Linked DNA regions of Oryctolagus cuniculus. The protein of the gene in region 1 purifies or fractionates together with the protein of each later gene. This does not show direct contact. Links are inferred from orthologs where the notes say so. Each region holds a gene or a part of one and is shown on either strand. Other genes may lie near its edges.

What was found.
Region 2: the proteins of MTCL1 (region 1) and MARK2 purify together in Homo sapiens (affinity purification with mass spectrometry; 5 studies listed by BioGRID and IntAct, with this or other methods). This does not show direct contact. The link is inferred for Oryctolagus cuniculus from reciprocal best matches to the Homo sapiens genes MTCL1 and MARK2.

What each region holds. Positions count from the first base shown.
Region 1 is NC_091441.1:65,912,418-65,919,289, forward strand, and holds part of MTCL1 (microtubule cross-linking factor 1), read left to right. Parts: intron 1-3,185; coding exon 3,186-4,499; intron 4,500-5,574; coding exon 5,575-5,730; intron 5,731-6,872. UniProt on the Homo sapiens protein: Microtubule-associated factor involved in the late phase of epithelial polarization and microtubule dynamics regulation.
Region 2 is NC_091432.1:7,359,911-7,367,564, forward strand, and holds the start of MARK2 (serine/threonine-protein kinase MARK2), read right to left. Parts: upstream 4,498-7,654; 5' UTR 3,926-4,497; coding exon 3,872-3,925; intron 1-3,871. UniProt on the Homo sapiens protein: Serine/threonine-protein kinase. Involved in cell polarity and microtubule dynamics regulation. Phosphorylates CRTC2/TORC2, DCX, HDAC7, KIF13B, MAP2, MAP4 and RAB11FIP2. Phosphorylates the microtubule-associated protein MAPT/TAU.

The DNA.
Region 1 (6,872 bases):
TCGTGCGTCAGATCTCCTGGTGTTTGAGTGGTTTCTTTCTTTAAGGGACAAGAAGACTTTTTGGACATTTTGTCAACCTTCAGGTAACCTGCAAAGTGGGCCTTCGTCAGGGTGCATCCCTGAGCCGGGTCTAGGACTGTTCTGGTGTGGCAGAGGGGACATGGTGGAAAGTTCAGGGTCAGAAATCAAGACGATTAGCAGGCTCCAGAGGGTCTCTGCCCGCACAAAGAGGTGCAGATGGGCACTTAGAGCCGCCTGTATCCATCTTCCTCAGAACTAATGAGTTCTCATTCCCCTTGGGAGGGAAGCCCCTCGGGAGAGACAGCCTGAGTCCCTGATGCACACCCTTGGTTCCTGCACTGTGCAGGCCACTCTGTCCCCATCTGCCCCTCCCTGGCCTTGCCTGGCCTCTGTCCCGTTGGTCCTGCCTGCCCCTCAGTCTGGCCCCAGCTTGTGGTGGGCAGAGGGTGGGGCCGTTGCCTGGTGCTGGGCCACATTCTCCTCCGGGATCTCTGAGCCAGGGGCTGCTATGCCTCAGAGGGGCTGGGACGGCTATGGGTGGTGCACAGACACCGACCGTCAGTGCATGTGTGGCCAGCGTATCCCCTGCCTCCCAAGTGAGTTCCTCTGCACAGAAGGTGAAGTCTGTCAGCATCGATAGGTTTCACAGATTCATCCAAACTCCACTCCTTCATGCAAGCAACCAATTCCTAGCTGTGGATTTGGGCTTACTGGGAATCTTTGTTAAACCAAAAATTGAAAAGGTGCTTTGGATTGTTCTACTTTTGCAAGTTCTAAGGAGCTGAGGTTCTTTAAAGGTAGCAAGCATGCCAGGGGTGGGCGTTCAGCCTAGCAGTTGAGATGCCTGCATCCCACATCACTGTGAGCTCTGGCTCCTGGTTCCAGCTTCCAGCCGATAGGCACCCTGGGAGGCAATGGTGATGGTTCAAGTGGTTAGGTCCTTGCACTCAGCTCCCAGCCCCAGCCCCAGGCTCTGGCCACTGCGGGCATTCAGGGAGTGCTCTCTTGTTCTCTCTCTCTCTACCTCTCAAATAAATATAAAAAAGTGAAAGCATAAAACAAAAATAGAAGAAGCATGGCACTTTCTAGTGGATAGATATTCAATAAGTGTTTACTGAAAGAATGAGTGAAAAAATAAGCATGCATTTCCTTTAGTATTAGGATTAAACACAACATCTGTCTTTTACAGCTCATACATAGTTCTTTTTTGTTGTTTAAAAAAAAAAAGTGTGATTACTCCAGTGGCATTGATGACCCATTCTTGTTGTGTGGTTGTGAGGGGGGGGAGAACCTTCCTCTGGCCACTCACAGAAATCCCGTAACTGTGTCTCCCTCACCAAAAAAGAAACCAAATCATTGATGTGATAAATCCTCAGAACTCGAAGACCGTGTGGCATTTACATGTTACTCCCCTAATAGGCAAAGGAAGGGAAAAGCAGAGTTGCTGGCTCATTTCTGCCAATATTCATTGTGTTCTGGACCAAGAAGGAATCCAGCTTCGGAGTACTGGGGTGTGGTGGTTTACTGTTTACACACCGCCTTGCAGTGCGTTATTGCATTTAACCTTCACAATGACCTCTTGCCTGAACAAGGGTCTTCAGACATAAGGAGACAGATTCTAGGGCTCTTGTGCCTTGCTGCAGGCAAAGCTAGGACGCCAGGCTGCCTGTTTGATACCACGCCCAGCAGGACCAGTTTAATCAGACTCCACCTGGAGGATGGTGGCGGGAGCTTCATGGTGCAGAGGGTGCACACAGAGTGCCAGGGCGTGCTTCCTGCATGGTACCTGGCACGCTTGGTTGTGGGTTTTCCCCGAGTCTTTCTGGTCTCATCATTCTTCCCCCTTCCCTGGCTTTGTGGAGAGGAAGGGGTCCAGGTGAGCGGGAAGGAGGGAATTGGGGAAGTAGCGAGGGAGGTTTTCGTCTAACCTCCAGGCAGAGGGTGAACCGTGCATGTTTGCCTGCTGTGGCAGCTTCATTGGCTCTACCAGACCATTGGAGCTTCACCTGTGTGAAGGAGGCCGCGCTCTCCAAGAGGGCTGGCCACCTGCAGGGCCCTTCCGTCCCTGGGGCTCCCACCGAGCTGTCGGGCCACAGCGCTTTTGCCATGGAGGAAGAAGCCTCGGCTGATGTCCTGGTCCCAGGCATCAGCCTTTCGAAACCTGATAGCCAGTCGAGGAGGAACCACTGGTGAAACCGGTCTTTTCCCTCTTGCTGAGTGTGGATGGTAGAGCATCATTGGAAGGACCAGCACAGAGAGTTTGTGCCTCGTAAAAGCATGGAGACCCACGCTGGCACAGCAGAGTGCCTTCCGGACCTCAGCCGAGCGGCGTGGGCCCTTGGCCGTGGCACCTGCTTCACAGGGTCTGAAACACCAGGTGCTCTCCGGCAGCTCGCCCTTGCCTTGGAGCTCTGAGTCTGCCTCCCGCTGCGTGACTGCAGCAACGGGGAAAGGAGAAAAGTGCGGGTTCTGCCTGGAGCCACCCTGCCTGAGAGAGGGTGGGAGCCCAGGGCGGCGGTGTCCCGTACGTCCGGAGCGTCGGCACTTGGTTCTGACTGCAGCTTCGCACCCGTCACTCATGTATTTGTCCTCATGTCAGTGCTTGATGCCGTGGGGAAGGGGAGAGGTGAACCTGGGCAAATCAGTCGAAAGCCAGGCTCTGGTTTGGGGTCACCTGACGTCTCCGGCGTGAGAGTGCCTGGTGGTTGGGTGAGGGCTCTGCCCTGGCAGGAAGTGAGTGGCCCCAGGCGGAGCCCTGCTTGCCACACCAGGCGTCGGGAAGCATTCTGGCATCGCTGTGACGGGTGCTAGCGATGAACCAGACACGATCCACAAAGTAACGTGGGCTCACCACGTCACCCATAGGTACCATTTTCACCCTCATTGTCCGTAACCTAGATGACAGCTTCAATGTGCATGTTTTGTTCCAAACTGATTTTTCGCTCTCCTTTGTTTCTGTGATACAACAACGCACTGTAGGCCGTTGCCCGGTCCCTTCCGGGGAGCCCCTGGGCGCAGCCCTGCTTGGTTGAGGCCACCTTTTCCGCACAGCTCTCGGCACTGTTGGGAGGACCTGTGGGGGCAGTGAGGGAGTAGGGGGAGTTGTTGCAGGAGCACCTGGTACTTCCGGTAACCTCCTCCCGGGCTGTTCTCTCTCCTGGCAGGACGACAGCGCCGACCTGAAATGCCAGCTCCAGTTTGCCAAAGAGGAAGCCTCCCTGATGCGCAAAAAGATGGCCAAGCTGGGGCGGGAGAAGGACGAGGCGGAGCAGGAGCTGCAGAAGTACAAGGCCCTGTACGGCGACGTGGACAGCCCCCTCCCCACAGGGGAGGCCGGTGGGCCCCCCAGCACCAGGGAGGCCGAGCTGAAGCTGCGGCTGAAGCTGGTGGAGGAAGAAGCCAACATCTTGGGCCGGAAGATCGTGGAGCTGGAGGTGGAGAACCGAGGCCTCAAGGCGGAGATGGAGGACATGCGGGTGCAGCAGGAGCGGGAGGGAGCGGGCCGGGACCACGTGCCAGCCATTCCTATCTCACCCTTTGGCGACTCCCTGGAGTCGTCCACGGAGCTTCGCCGGCACCTGCAGTTTGTAGAGGAGGAAGCGGAGCTGCTGCGCAGGTCCATCTCCGAGATTGAAGACCACAACCGGCAGTTGACCCACGAGCTGAGCAAGTTCAAGTTTGAGCCTCCCCAGGAGCCAGGGTGGCTAGGGGACAGCGCAGGCAAGGGTCCCGGAGGCGGGGCCCCTCTGCAGGAAGAGCTCAAGTCGGCCAGGCTGCAGATCAATGAGCTGAGCGGGAAGGTGCTGAAGCTGCAGTATGAGAACCGGGTGCTGCTGTCCAATGTCCAGCGCTGCGACCTCGCAGCCCACCTGGGGCTGCGTGCCCCGAGCCCTCGCGACAGCGATGCCGAGAGCGACCTGGGCAAGAAGGAGAGCGATGGGGAGGAAGCCCGCCTGTCCCAGCCCAAGCGGGAAGGGCCCGTGGGTGGGGAGAGCGACTCGGAGGAGACGTTCGAGAAGTCATCGGGCTTCGGGAGTGGAAAGCCCTCGGAGGTGAGCGAGCCATGTCCGGCGGAGCTCCTGCGGGCCCGCGAGGACTCCGAGTGCCTGGTGATCATAAAGCAGGAGGCACAGCGGCTCGAGCGGACCGTGGAGCGCCTCATCACAGACACCGATGGCTTCCTGCACGACGCAGGGCTGCCGGGTGGCGGCGGCACAGCCTCCCCCTGGGGGCCTGGGGGTCAGGACGAGGGTGAGGGGGGCAAGAAGGAGTCCCACCTGCTGGGCGCCATCAATGCCAGGATGAAGGCTTTCAGGAAGGAGCTGCAAGCCTTCCTGGAGCAGGTGACTCGGATTGGGGATGGCCTGTCCCCCTCGTCCCACCTCACTGAGTCGTCCAGCTTCCTCTCGACCGTGACCTCCGTGTCCCGGGACTCCCCCATCGGGAACCTGGGCAAGGAGCTGGGCCCAGACTTGCAGGTAAGGGGGCTCCTGGCCTCGCCTCCCTGCCGTGCCTTGCCCTTCCTCCTTCTCGCTGGCATTGCTGCACTTCTTGGGCTTGCGGTGCTCACGGCTGCTTGGTTGTGATTTCAAAGCTGCATTGCACTAAAGCCTCCGGCGTCCGCCCCCAACCCAGTCTCTGGGTTAGGGTTCCTTTTTTGTTTTTTTGTTTTTTTTTTTTAAGTTCCCTTTCTCGTTTCCTCGTTTTCTTTTTCCTTTTTCTCCTCTTATTTTTAACTGCACCCCTGCTTGGGGTCTAGAGGCCCCGGCCCCCGGGAACCAAGGCCGAGCCGAGTCAGGGGCTCGGCGCAGTCCGTCCTCGCTTCTTGCTTGGTGTCTCACACAACCAGCCGTCCCGGTGAAGAAGCCACGAGGAGTCTCAGCCGAGGTGCCAGCTCCTGTCACAGTCAGGATAAGTGGCAGACTCACTCATGAGCGCGCCAATCCCTCCTTGGGTCGTTACCAAAGGGACACAGTGCAGCTCGGACAGCCCCTAGGCAGCCAGGCCCACCCGCTCCCTCACTGGAAGATAAGCCGGGCTGGGGAGAGGCGCACGGTCCCCCGAGAAGGCTGTTTTTGATGGAAAGTCGCCGAGGTGGGGGCTGAGCGGAGTGGCCTCCGAGGACTGCTCTCCTGTGCCTCACCCTGGGGTGCATGACCCGGCTGCCGGCCCTGGATTGTGGCCTTTGCTGCTCGACCCACAAGTAAGGAAGGAAGAGCCTTGTGTCGTGTATCCTTCACGGGTGGTGTGCTCGCGGTGGACTTGGGACTCACGCATCGCCATTGCATGCGCCCCCTGCCCCTTCTCTGGCTCTGCAGATGCCGCGGCCTCTCCTCTCGCTCATCCTCATTCTGCGCCTGTGCGCTCTGCGCAAGCGTCCGCCGCTCTCTGAAGTTGGTTTCTCTTGTCCCGTGCTTCCCTCGGCCTGGCAGTCCTGCCCCTCGTCTGCCTTGACTCCTCTCGGTGTCTTTATCCTCCCTCCCCACCCGACTCTCTCATCCTTTGTATTTCGTTTAAAAACAAACAAACGAATCCCTCCCGTGCACCTAACAGTCCAAGCTGAGGGACCAGCTGGAGTGGCCGTTCAGCCAGGACCGAGGGGACGAGCGCGAGAGTCCGCGCCCGCGAGCCACCCGGGAGCTGCACCGGCACGCCGACGGCGACGCTGGGAGCCACAGGCCGGGAGGCCAGAGCTGCTTCAATCTCGAGGTCAGCGCCCAGACCCAGCCGTGGCCCTCATGCCCCTCCTTTTGCATGTGGCTGCCTGTGTGACTCGTCCTGCCTGGGCCAGGGCTCTCAGCGAGCGTGGCAGGAGGATGTGCCCTCAGCGGCCTCTTGTCCCTAAGCAGAGAGAAGGGCTGAGCCCAAGCAGGAGCTCCCCTAGTCCAGGGGAGACGCTCCTGTTGGGTCTTCATTGCCTCTGTCCTGTGTGCCTGTCCCATGGGCTTGGAGCCCCTGTTGCAGCAGGCTGGCAGAATCAGATAGGTCCTCTCGCTCCTGCCTTGGGAACCCTGGGAGCCTGCACAGGCTCGGTTGCCATGGTAACCCATGGACACCCAGTGACAGGTGCCTCTCAGTGGTCCTGTAAGACGGCAGCTCAGGGATACAGGTCACCCCATGCAGGAAGGAAAGACAGGTGCTCCCCAAGGACTGAACCGCCGGCGCAGGTCCCCTCCTGGCTGTTAGGCTGCTGGCTGGGCTGGAGTCACGTGAACTGGGTCGGGGAAGAGCTGTACCCCTCAATCCCCCAGGGGATGTTTCCACTGAACTCTGAGGCATGGGAACAGCAGGGGCCAGGAGACAAGACTTCCGGGCTTGTAACCCGGAAGTGAGCGACAGCTTTGTTCAGCAGAACATAGGGTGGGGTGATGAGGAAGTGAAGCTGACAAAGGCATGCAGGTAGGCAGTGCCCGAGCCTTTGGCTCCACACAGCGAGGCTGAAGGTCCCCTCACTGGAAAGGGGTGTGGCAGGGCTGTTGCCTCACCCAGCCAAGTCCCAGGTTGCGCTAATTTGCAGCTGTGTCCCTTAGCCCTGGAGGAGGGAGCGTGTCATGTACAAATGTAGAAACCGCCTCCAGCCAGCTGCACTAAAAACAGAAAAGGTTTCCAGAACCCCCTGCACAGTCCTGCTGTCCTCACGTTACCTAGGGAGGCCAGGCCCACCTGCGCAAGCGGCAGCCCAGCACACGCTCCGAGGGAAGGCAATGTGGGCCGTGCGGAGGGGTGACAGGGAGGTGATCCACATGCCACAGGGCGACACCCATGCTGGTGCCAGGCCCCCAGAAACCAGCAGAACCCGGTGTGCTGGGTGGGCGGGGCAGGGAGCGGCAGGGGGACCCCGGCCCTCCCAG
Region 2 (7,654 bases), on another chromosome or scaffold:
TCCAAAGGGGAAACTCTTTCGTCTGAGAAGTTCTGATTCTCAAGACAGCTAACCATGCAAACCTCTCAAGCACACAAATCCTCGGCCTTTGTCTACCTCACAGGCATCAACTCTGCTTAAGATGTTTATGCTTAGAAAAAGAAAAAAAGGCTCTGGTCCAACCTTTAGTCACAGTCTAGAAGATTCAGTTATCCCTGTACAAATCTGATTTTAATCTGAAGCACACTAAGTTTCAATGACTGCCTTCTCTCTGTTTAGCTCCTTCCCAAAGTCCACAGATAGGGGAGAAATTATTATAATTTACTAGGTCTGGTTACTTTTGCGGGTTCAAAGGTTAGGACTACCGGGACTCCTCCAGCCCTTGCTTTAACAATACCCCTTCCCTAATCTCGAGGACCGAGCGAGACTTCATGGCTTGACACATTCACCCACATCCCTGACCAGAAGGCAGCACTACCAAAGGGCCCCAGGCAGGCCAAAGGTCCGAGTGAGAGCCAGCGCCCAGAGCACTGGCAGTGCCGCACGGCTCGCAGGGCTACCTAAGCCCATTTCCTTGGAGGACACCAACAACCGAGCACTCAGTGCGACATCTGGCCGGAACCAATGGCAGGGTCTGACGAGCTCACGCACTCGGCGTGGCTCTTCCTCACAGGACCCTGGGACTTGGATTTGCTCCCGTGACTGTCACTCCCAAGCTCCTTATGCCATTTGCTCCCTAGAAAAGCGACAGCAGCCCCTCCGTGGGCAGTCACAGCCCTCTCTCATGGTTTCTGAAGCCATGCAGCCCCTCCCCCTGGGGCTACAGAAAGCTCTACCAGCAGCAAGTGAACTCTGGAAGCTGGACCCTTCTGCACTCTTGCTGGGGACCGCTGCTGGCGGGGAGACAAACAGTCATCTTGCTGATTGCTTTCAGGACTGCCAAGCCTCCAGGCCAGGCTGCCGAAGCCACTTGGAAAAGAAGGGAACAGAAAGCTCCACTAGCAGACCAAGAGTCCCCAAAACTACCAGCCCCAGGCCAGACCCTCGCTCTGCCACAGGAAGACGTCTGCGTTGTGAAAAGCACATCTAGAACAAGTGCCACAAGCATCTACGGAAAGGGCCTGCCTGTGTTTTATCTCCGACTCTCACTGCAGGAGCAGAGCTGGCAGCTCCCCTGCCACACAAGGCTGATTTCTATGCTTGAACACTGTGTGTGTGTGCGTCAGATGTGATCAAAGGGCTCCCAGAATCAGCTTCTCATCAGCCACAGTTCTAAAGAAAGTGCGAGAGGAAGAGCAAGAAAAGAGATTGGAGGCAACCACTGGAGTTTATTTACTGATTTTCTGGGGAAACCACAGTTTAAATAATTTAACTCTAAATAAGGTGACACAGGACCCTTCAGGCAAGGGAATCAGTCCAACCAAGTGCCTTGCTTTCCGTTTCCTAACACTGAGGCCACTCAAAGGCTGCACTTCCACGGCCACTTCAGCTGAAATGTCCACAGGACCGAGAAGAGATCTCTTGCCTTACTTGGCGGCATGATCTGTTCTAGGGGAAGGCCTTGCGATCAGAAGCACTGCTGCTGCTCGTCTTTCTGCTTGTTCTCAAGAGCACAGCACCTGCCTGGAACAGGCGTCACCCAAGGTTCTGCAAAGACTCTGCTTCCCTGTGTGCGACCGGCACCCTGAGAACTACGCGCAAGTGGCTCAGGGGAACCCGAGTCCAGGAGAGTAAAACGGGGATGAGTAATCCAGACTTGAGAGCAGAGCCACAGCACACACAGCCCCTGCTCCGGACAGTTATTCAGAGCAGCTCACATTCCAAAATGGTTCCCAGGCACGGCTGTCCTGAGCCCGGCGTGTCAGGATGAGAGGAAGTCAACGCGCACCTCACAAGGCCACGGCGACAGCACACCCACATTTGGTAAACAGCACAAAGAAACCACACGGAGGCCGCCCGGGACTCCACGCCGGTGCGCACAAGGTCCCACGGCCTCCCGGGCAGGAGGCACTCCGCGCCACTCCACAGACGCCTGGGGTGCCGGTTAGGCCCTCAGCCCCTCCTTCCAGCTCCCAATCAACAGTCTCGGAAAGTTATCCAGCTAAGCAGGGCCCACCTGCCAACACCAAGGCTGCGAGAGAAAAAAGGACGGAACAAGCAGCCTCAAGAGGGCAGAGAGTGGCTCCCCGAACGGAGAAACAGCTGGCAAGCGAGGGCAAGGACCACTGCGGGCCACAGACCAAGCTCCCCGTTTCCAGACTCTGCCCCACACGGAGTCAGCTGTCAGGCCCATCCCTCCCTCTCAATGCCCCTGCACCCCAGAAACAAACAACCCGTGCACAAGAAAAGGGCCAGCCGCCACCGAGAAAAACTCCGTCCAGAACTGCCGGGTTCCTAACTGTGCAGGTGACAGGCAGCAGAGGCTCACAGAACAGCCACACGGAGTAAAGGACACGGGGGAGGGTCTGTCGGAGCAGGTCAACCAGAGAGAATGAAAACACTGCAACAGCTCTACCCCAGCGACCACGAAGGAAAGGGGACAGGAGGGGCGCAGAGGAGGGAGGGCGGAGGATCCAACGCAGTGCAGCCCCCGGGCAGGAGGGCGCCTTTGCCAGGCCCTGCTGTCTGGGCCCAGGAAAGTTCTCTGAGAGGTAAGGCAGGGCGTCCCCCGGCAGGGCCCTCAGCAAGGGTCCCAGCAGCCAGGGAGGGGACAGCCAGTGAGAGCACACAGCACAGGCCACGGCTTGGCTGACGCCCCACGGGAGTGCGGCCAGGATGGGGGCAGCTTGTAGGGTCGGGAGGCTGCGGCATAGGGCAAGCACTTGCTGGGAATTACAGAGCAACGGGAAGGGAGCAGGGACGGCACAGCAGCACACGGGGGCGGGGGCTGTCCGCAGGACCTGAAGACGGCAGGAGAGGAGCAAACCCCGCGGGGAGGCACGGAGAGGAGGCGAGGCGAAGCCAAGGGGGCAGCAAGGCAGTGAGCAGGGAGTGACAGGCACCGAGCGTCCGGGTGCGCGCCGCAGAGGCCCGGGAGAGAAGTGAGCAACAGGTTGTGTGAATACACAGGGCGGAAACAGCGAGCGACCGTCCCGCGGGGTGCGGGCCGCGGCCAGGGCAAAGGCCGGCGGGGCACGCAGGGCGCCGAGCAGGAGGCGCAGGGGCTTGGGAACCGAACCCTGGGGGAGGAGAGCACGAGGGGCCCCCAGGGCTCCGAAGGCAGGGAGGACAGGAACCCCAGAGCAACCTGTGGGCAAACTGCGCGCATGACAGCTGGGAAACACGGAAGCGACACGGGCAGCGCCAGGAGCCGGGGAGCTCCCGGGGAAAAGACGGGAAAGTGATGAGCAAAGAGTAGGCGAGCGATCCGGAAAGGGGATGAGGGTGGAGCTGGTGGGCTGCGGGCAACAGCGAGCACGCGGGGCTGAGGACGAAGCGGGGCGGACACAGCTGGGCAGCCGCAAGCGGACAGGGCTCGCGGCGAACACCCTCCCGGGCGAGGACCCTGCGGGTCGTCAGCAGGGACCGGGAGAGCCGGCGCGGGCGGAGGGAGAGGTGGCCGACGATCTGTGGCCAGGCGCGGGGTGCTGCTCGAAGCGTGGGTGGAAGAAGACCAGAGAGGGCCCAGAGAGAAAAAGGGAAGAGAGGGGAAGCTGAGGAGGTTAACACGGAAGAGCGCAGGAGGGCGGCGAGGGGCGGAGGGGGGTTGGCAGGGCGACAAGTGTGCAGCCTGGAGTCAGTTCAAGGTGGGTCCCGGGTCAGGACTCGGAAGGGGGATGTGCAGGGCCGGATGACAGGGCAGCCGGGGCACGAGGAGAGCAGAGGAGGGAGGAGGCTCCGCAAGGTGCAGGGGCCCAGCCAGAGAATCCGGGGAGCCCTCGGGGCTCCTTACCTGCTCCGTGTCCCTCTCGTTCAGCGTGGGTAGGGGGGTCCGGGCGCTGGACATGGCGCCGGTATCTCAGGGGAGGGAACCGAGAAGCTCGGAGTAAGGGAGGGAAGGGAAGGCGCGGAGCCCGGCCGGGCGGGGCTTCTCACAGCAGGAGCGCCCGCCGCATGGGCCCCGGCCGGGGGTGCGGGGAGGCCGGGCAGCCGCTCACGCCAGCCCGGGGATGCGCCGCTCGGGCTAGGCCGCGCCGGCTCCGAGCGGCTCCGGACCGCACCCCCCCGACCCCCGGCTGGGCTGTGCCGCCTTTCGGCCGGGCTGCGCCGCTCCGCCTACTCTCTGCCGCCGCAGCCGGCCGCCTGCCTCGCTCCTCCCCTGCCCTCAGCGGCACTGCTCCGCGCCCGGCACACAGGCAGCCGCCGCCGGACCTGCTGCTCCCAACATGGCCGCCACCACCGCCGGCCCTCGGCTCTTTCCGCCGGCGGCAGCCGGAAACATCCGAAGCGCTTAGGAACGGGAGGGGGGCGCGCCTTCTCCTCTCGGCCGGGGTCTACGGGTCAATTCCGGAAACAGCCGAAGAAGGTAATCCCCGGAGACGCGCGCACCTCCTCGATTCCGAAGACCGAGCTTCGGCTCTGTTTACGGAAATCTACGAAGCGGCTCCGGGCCCTCCTGAGCCGCCCAAGCCACGCCCACCGCCCTTTCCCCGCCCACGTCAAGCCGGCTTTCGGCAGTTTCCGGAAACACCCGAAGAGGCTCCGCGTGCGGAGCCGGCCACGCCCCCGTCCTGCTGAGCGGCCGAGGGCGGCAGTCGGCCATTTCCGGCAACACCCGAAGCCCGCCGAGTCCGCGGTCATTTCCCCCCCGGGGTTCCCAGAGCCTGGCTCTTCGTTTCTTTCCGTCAGTTTTCGGGTATTTTCAAACCTTGGACGGGACGCGTGGGTCCCCGTGCGTGTTGTTATTTGACTAAAAAGAGGACGAGGCTGTTAGCCATCCATCCCTGTGGCCGGTGTACTTTGGACCTGGAGCAGCTTCCTGCTGCGTGTCTGTTCGTCCCCCTGTCGGTTATCTCATAAAATCCATCTTCTGTTTATCCCGCACCACAGGCCGTCAACATGTGTCACCTGACAAACGCAACGTCAGTCTATTACCTACCTGCCTCCCGCCCACCACCTGCCACGGGCTCTCCTGTCTGTGAATGGCCGCACCTGGTCCGCAGGTCGGCAAGGGACCAGGTCAGCGTCCGACACACTCCGCTGCGGGAACGCCCAGGGCCTGCCTTGCAGCCCCAGCTCTGCGATCCTGGGAAACCCACCTGCCATCTCTGAGCTTAGGCTCCTGTCCCCTCCACCGAACGGATTTATCCCAGAGATGACTTTAAGTGCCCCTGCCAGGTAAGGCAGGAGAGATCGTCTCATCTTTTTTTCTTTTAAAAAACAATGCACCTTTTCTAGCGGTAAGGTCGACGTGGGACGCCCGCATCCCGTCCCTGACTGGCCGGGCTCAAGCCCCCGCTACTCTGCTTCCAATCCAGCTTCCTCCTCATCCACACCCTGGGAGGCAGCAAGTGATGGCTCAAACACCTGTGTCCCTGCCACCCACATGGGAGACCCCAGGATTGAGTTCCGGACTCCAGGCTTCTGACTGGCCTAGCCCTGGCTGTTGTAGGGATTCTCCTCCGTCTCTCTGCCTTTGAAATAAAATGAAATTTTAAAAAATAAACATAGCATGCATTCCCACGTGGGAGACCCAGAAGCAGCTCTGGACTCCTGGCTTCGGCCCTGGCCCAGCCCTGGCAGTTGCAAACATCTGGGGAGGGAACCAGCAGATGGAAGATCAATCTCTCTTTCTCTCTCTCTCTGTAACTCTCCCTTTCAAATAAATAATGAAATATTTTTTAAAAAGTGTGCATTTTCCATGAGCTTTTATTCACTTATTTGAGCGGCTAGGTGTAGGAGTTGGGAAGGGCCTTCATCCACTAAGACTTACTTGCCCATAGTCTACAACGGCCCAGTCAGGCTGAAGCTGGGAGTTGGGAACTCCATCCAGATCTCCGATGTGGGTGGCGTGGGTGGAGGAGACCCCGGTACCTGAGCCATGGCGGCTGCCTCCCCAGGTCTACATTAGCAGGAAGCTGGAGTTAGGAGCAGGACCTGGGCACTGGACCCCGATGCCCACTCCGATACGGAACCCAGGTGTCACGGCTGGCATCTTCCATGCTAGCCTAAACGCGTGCCCCAGGCCTTCCCTTCATTCCCACGTCACTGTATCTAAGACAAAGAAACTGGGGGGAAAGGGAGAGGACCCCGCTGAAAATGACAGTTCTCCCGGATGAGTGACACAGAGAACAGGCCTGTACAGAAGTAGCTTTTCTTCCTTCCTGTGGGCCTCAGTCTCCCCATCCGTAGAGTGGGGTCGCTGGATTCACGAGCCCCTGACTCAAACAGGAAGTCCGTGTAGTAACCTCCGTGCACTTTTACTTCCTCCTCGACTGTCTCACCCAGGAGATGCAGCAGCCCGGGCTCATCTCTCCAGCTCCAAGCCGTCCCCACTCATGGCACCCGGGACGTGTTGGAATTTGCCTCTCTCCTGCCCCAGGGCTCAACGGCGGCTCAAAGTGGGCAGCAGCCAGAGGCCCCCTAGGAGCGAGATCAGGCTTAGGCAAGAGGTCCCAGCGGTTATGGGCAAAGTGCTGCCTGGACCTCTGGCCCTTGACTTCCAGCTCGCAGCTGGTGGTGCCAATCAGAGAAGCAGAGAGGCCTGTGGAAGTCTCCCTAAGGCCACAGGTGCCACCTGCAGTCTTAGGATGCTGCCAGGACTCCAGGCATCTTTGCAGGGCACAGCCCGGCTCCATTCAGGCCCCAAACCACTGAGAAAGACGTTGGTGAACGCGCACCTGAGGAGGAAAAGAGGAAGAGGACCCACCAGGCATGCCACTTCCCCCTGCCCCAAATTCAGCCCCCAAAAAATCTACGAGAACCATCTGCCCTCTGGTGGCCAAAGGGAGACACAGTGCTGCTTCCTGGGCCTGCCAGTCTCTTAAGACTGGAAAGGCAGGGGAGGGGATTGGAGAGCAAAGGAGGGGGGCGTTCAGAGCCTCCCCTGGCCTGTGCTGTCCTGTAGTAAACTCTTCCTCCCGTGTGCTCCCTACTCCTCTCTCCCTGGGTCTTCTGCTCTTCGGCTCCCACCCGCCTCGTCCTCACCAGCTCTGCACAAAGCTGCCTAACCAGTCTCCCTGCCCAGACTCCCTCCAACCCATCCCGCCCGAATAACCTTCCTGAGGTCCACCTCCAGTTACACCCACGCCCTGCTAGAAGGCCACGGCTGCTCCCCTGTGGGCCACAGGCGAGGCTGCCCTCTTGGGCCTGTGACCTGCATGGGCAGAGTCCTGCGCCAAGAAGGGCCTCCGTTCAGTTTAAGGCTCTGCCGTCACCGCCTTGAAGTTTCTTCTTTACCAAGAGGGCCCTGTTTTTGTTTTTGTTTTTAAGATTTACTTATTTATTTGAAAGTTACACAGAGGAGAGGCAGAGAGAGAGAGAGAGAGCGAGCGAGAGAGAGAGATCTTCCATCTGCTGATTCACTCTCCAATTGGCCTCAACAGCCAGAGCTGTGGCGATCTGAAGCCAGGAGCCAGGATACAGGAGCTTCTTCCGGGTCTCCCACATGGGTGCAGGGGCCCAAGGACCTGGGCCATCCTCCACTGCCTTCCCAGGCCACAGCAGAGAGCCAGATCGGAAGTGGAGCAGCCGGGTCTTGAACCAGTGGAGGGCCCTGCATTTTCAGCTTGCACTG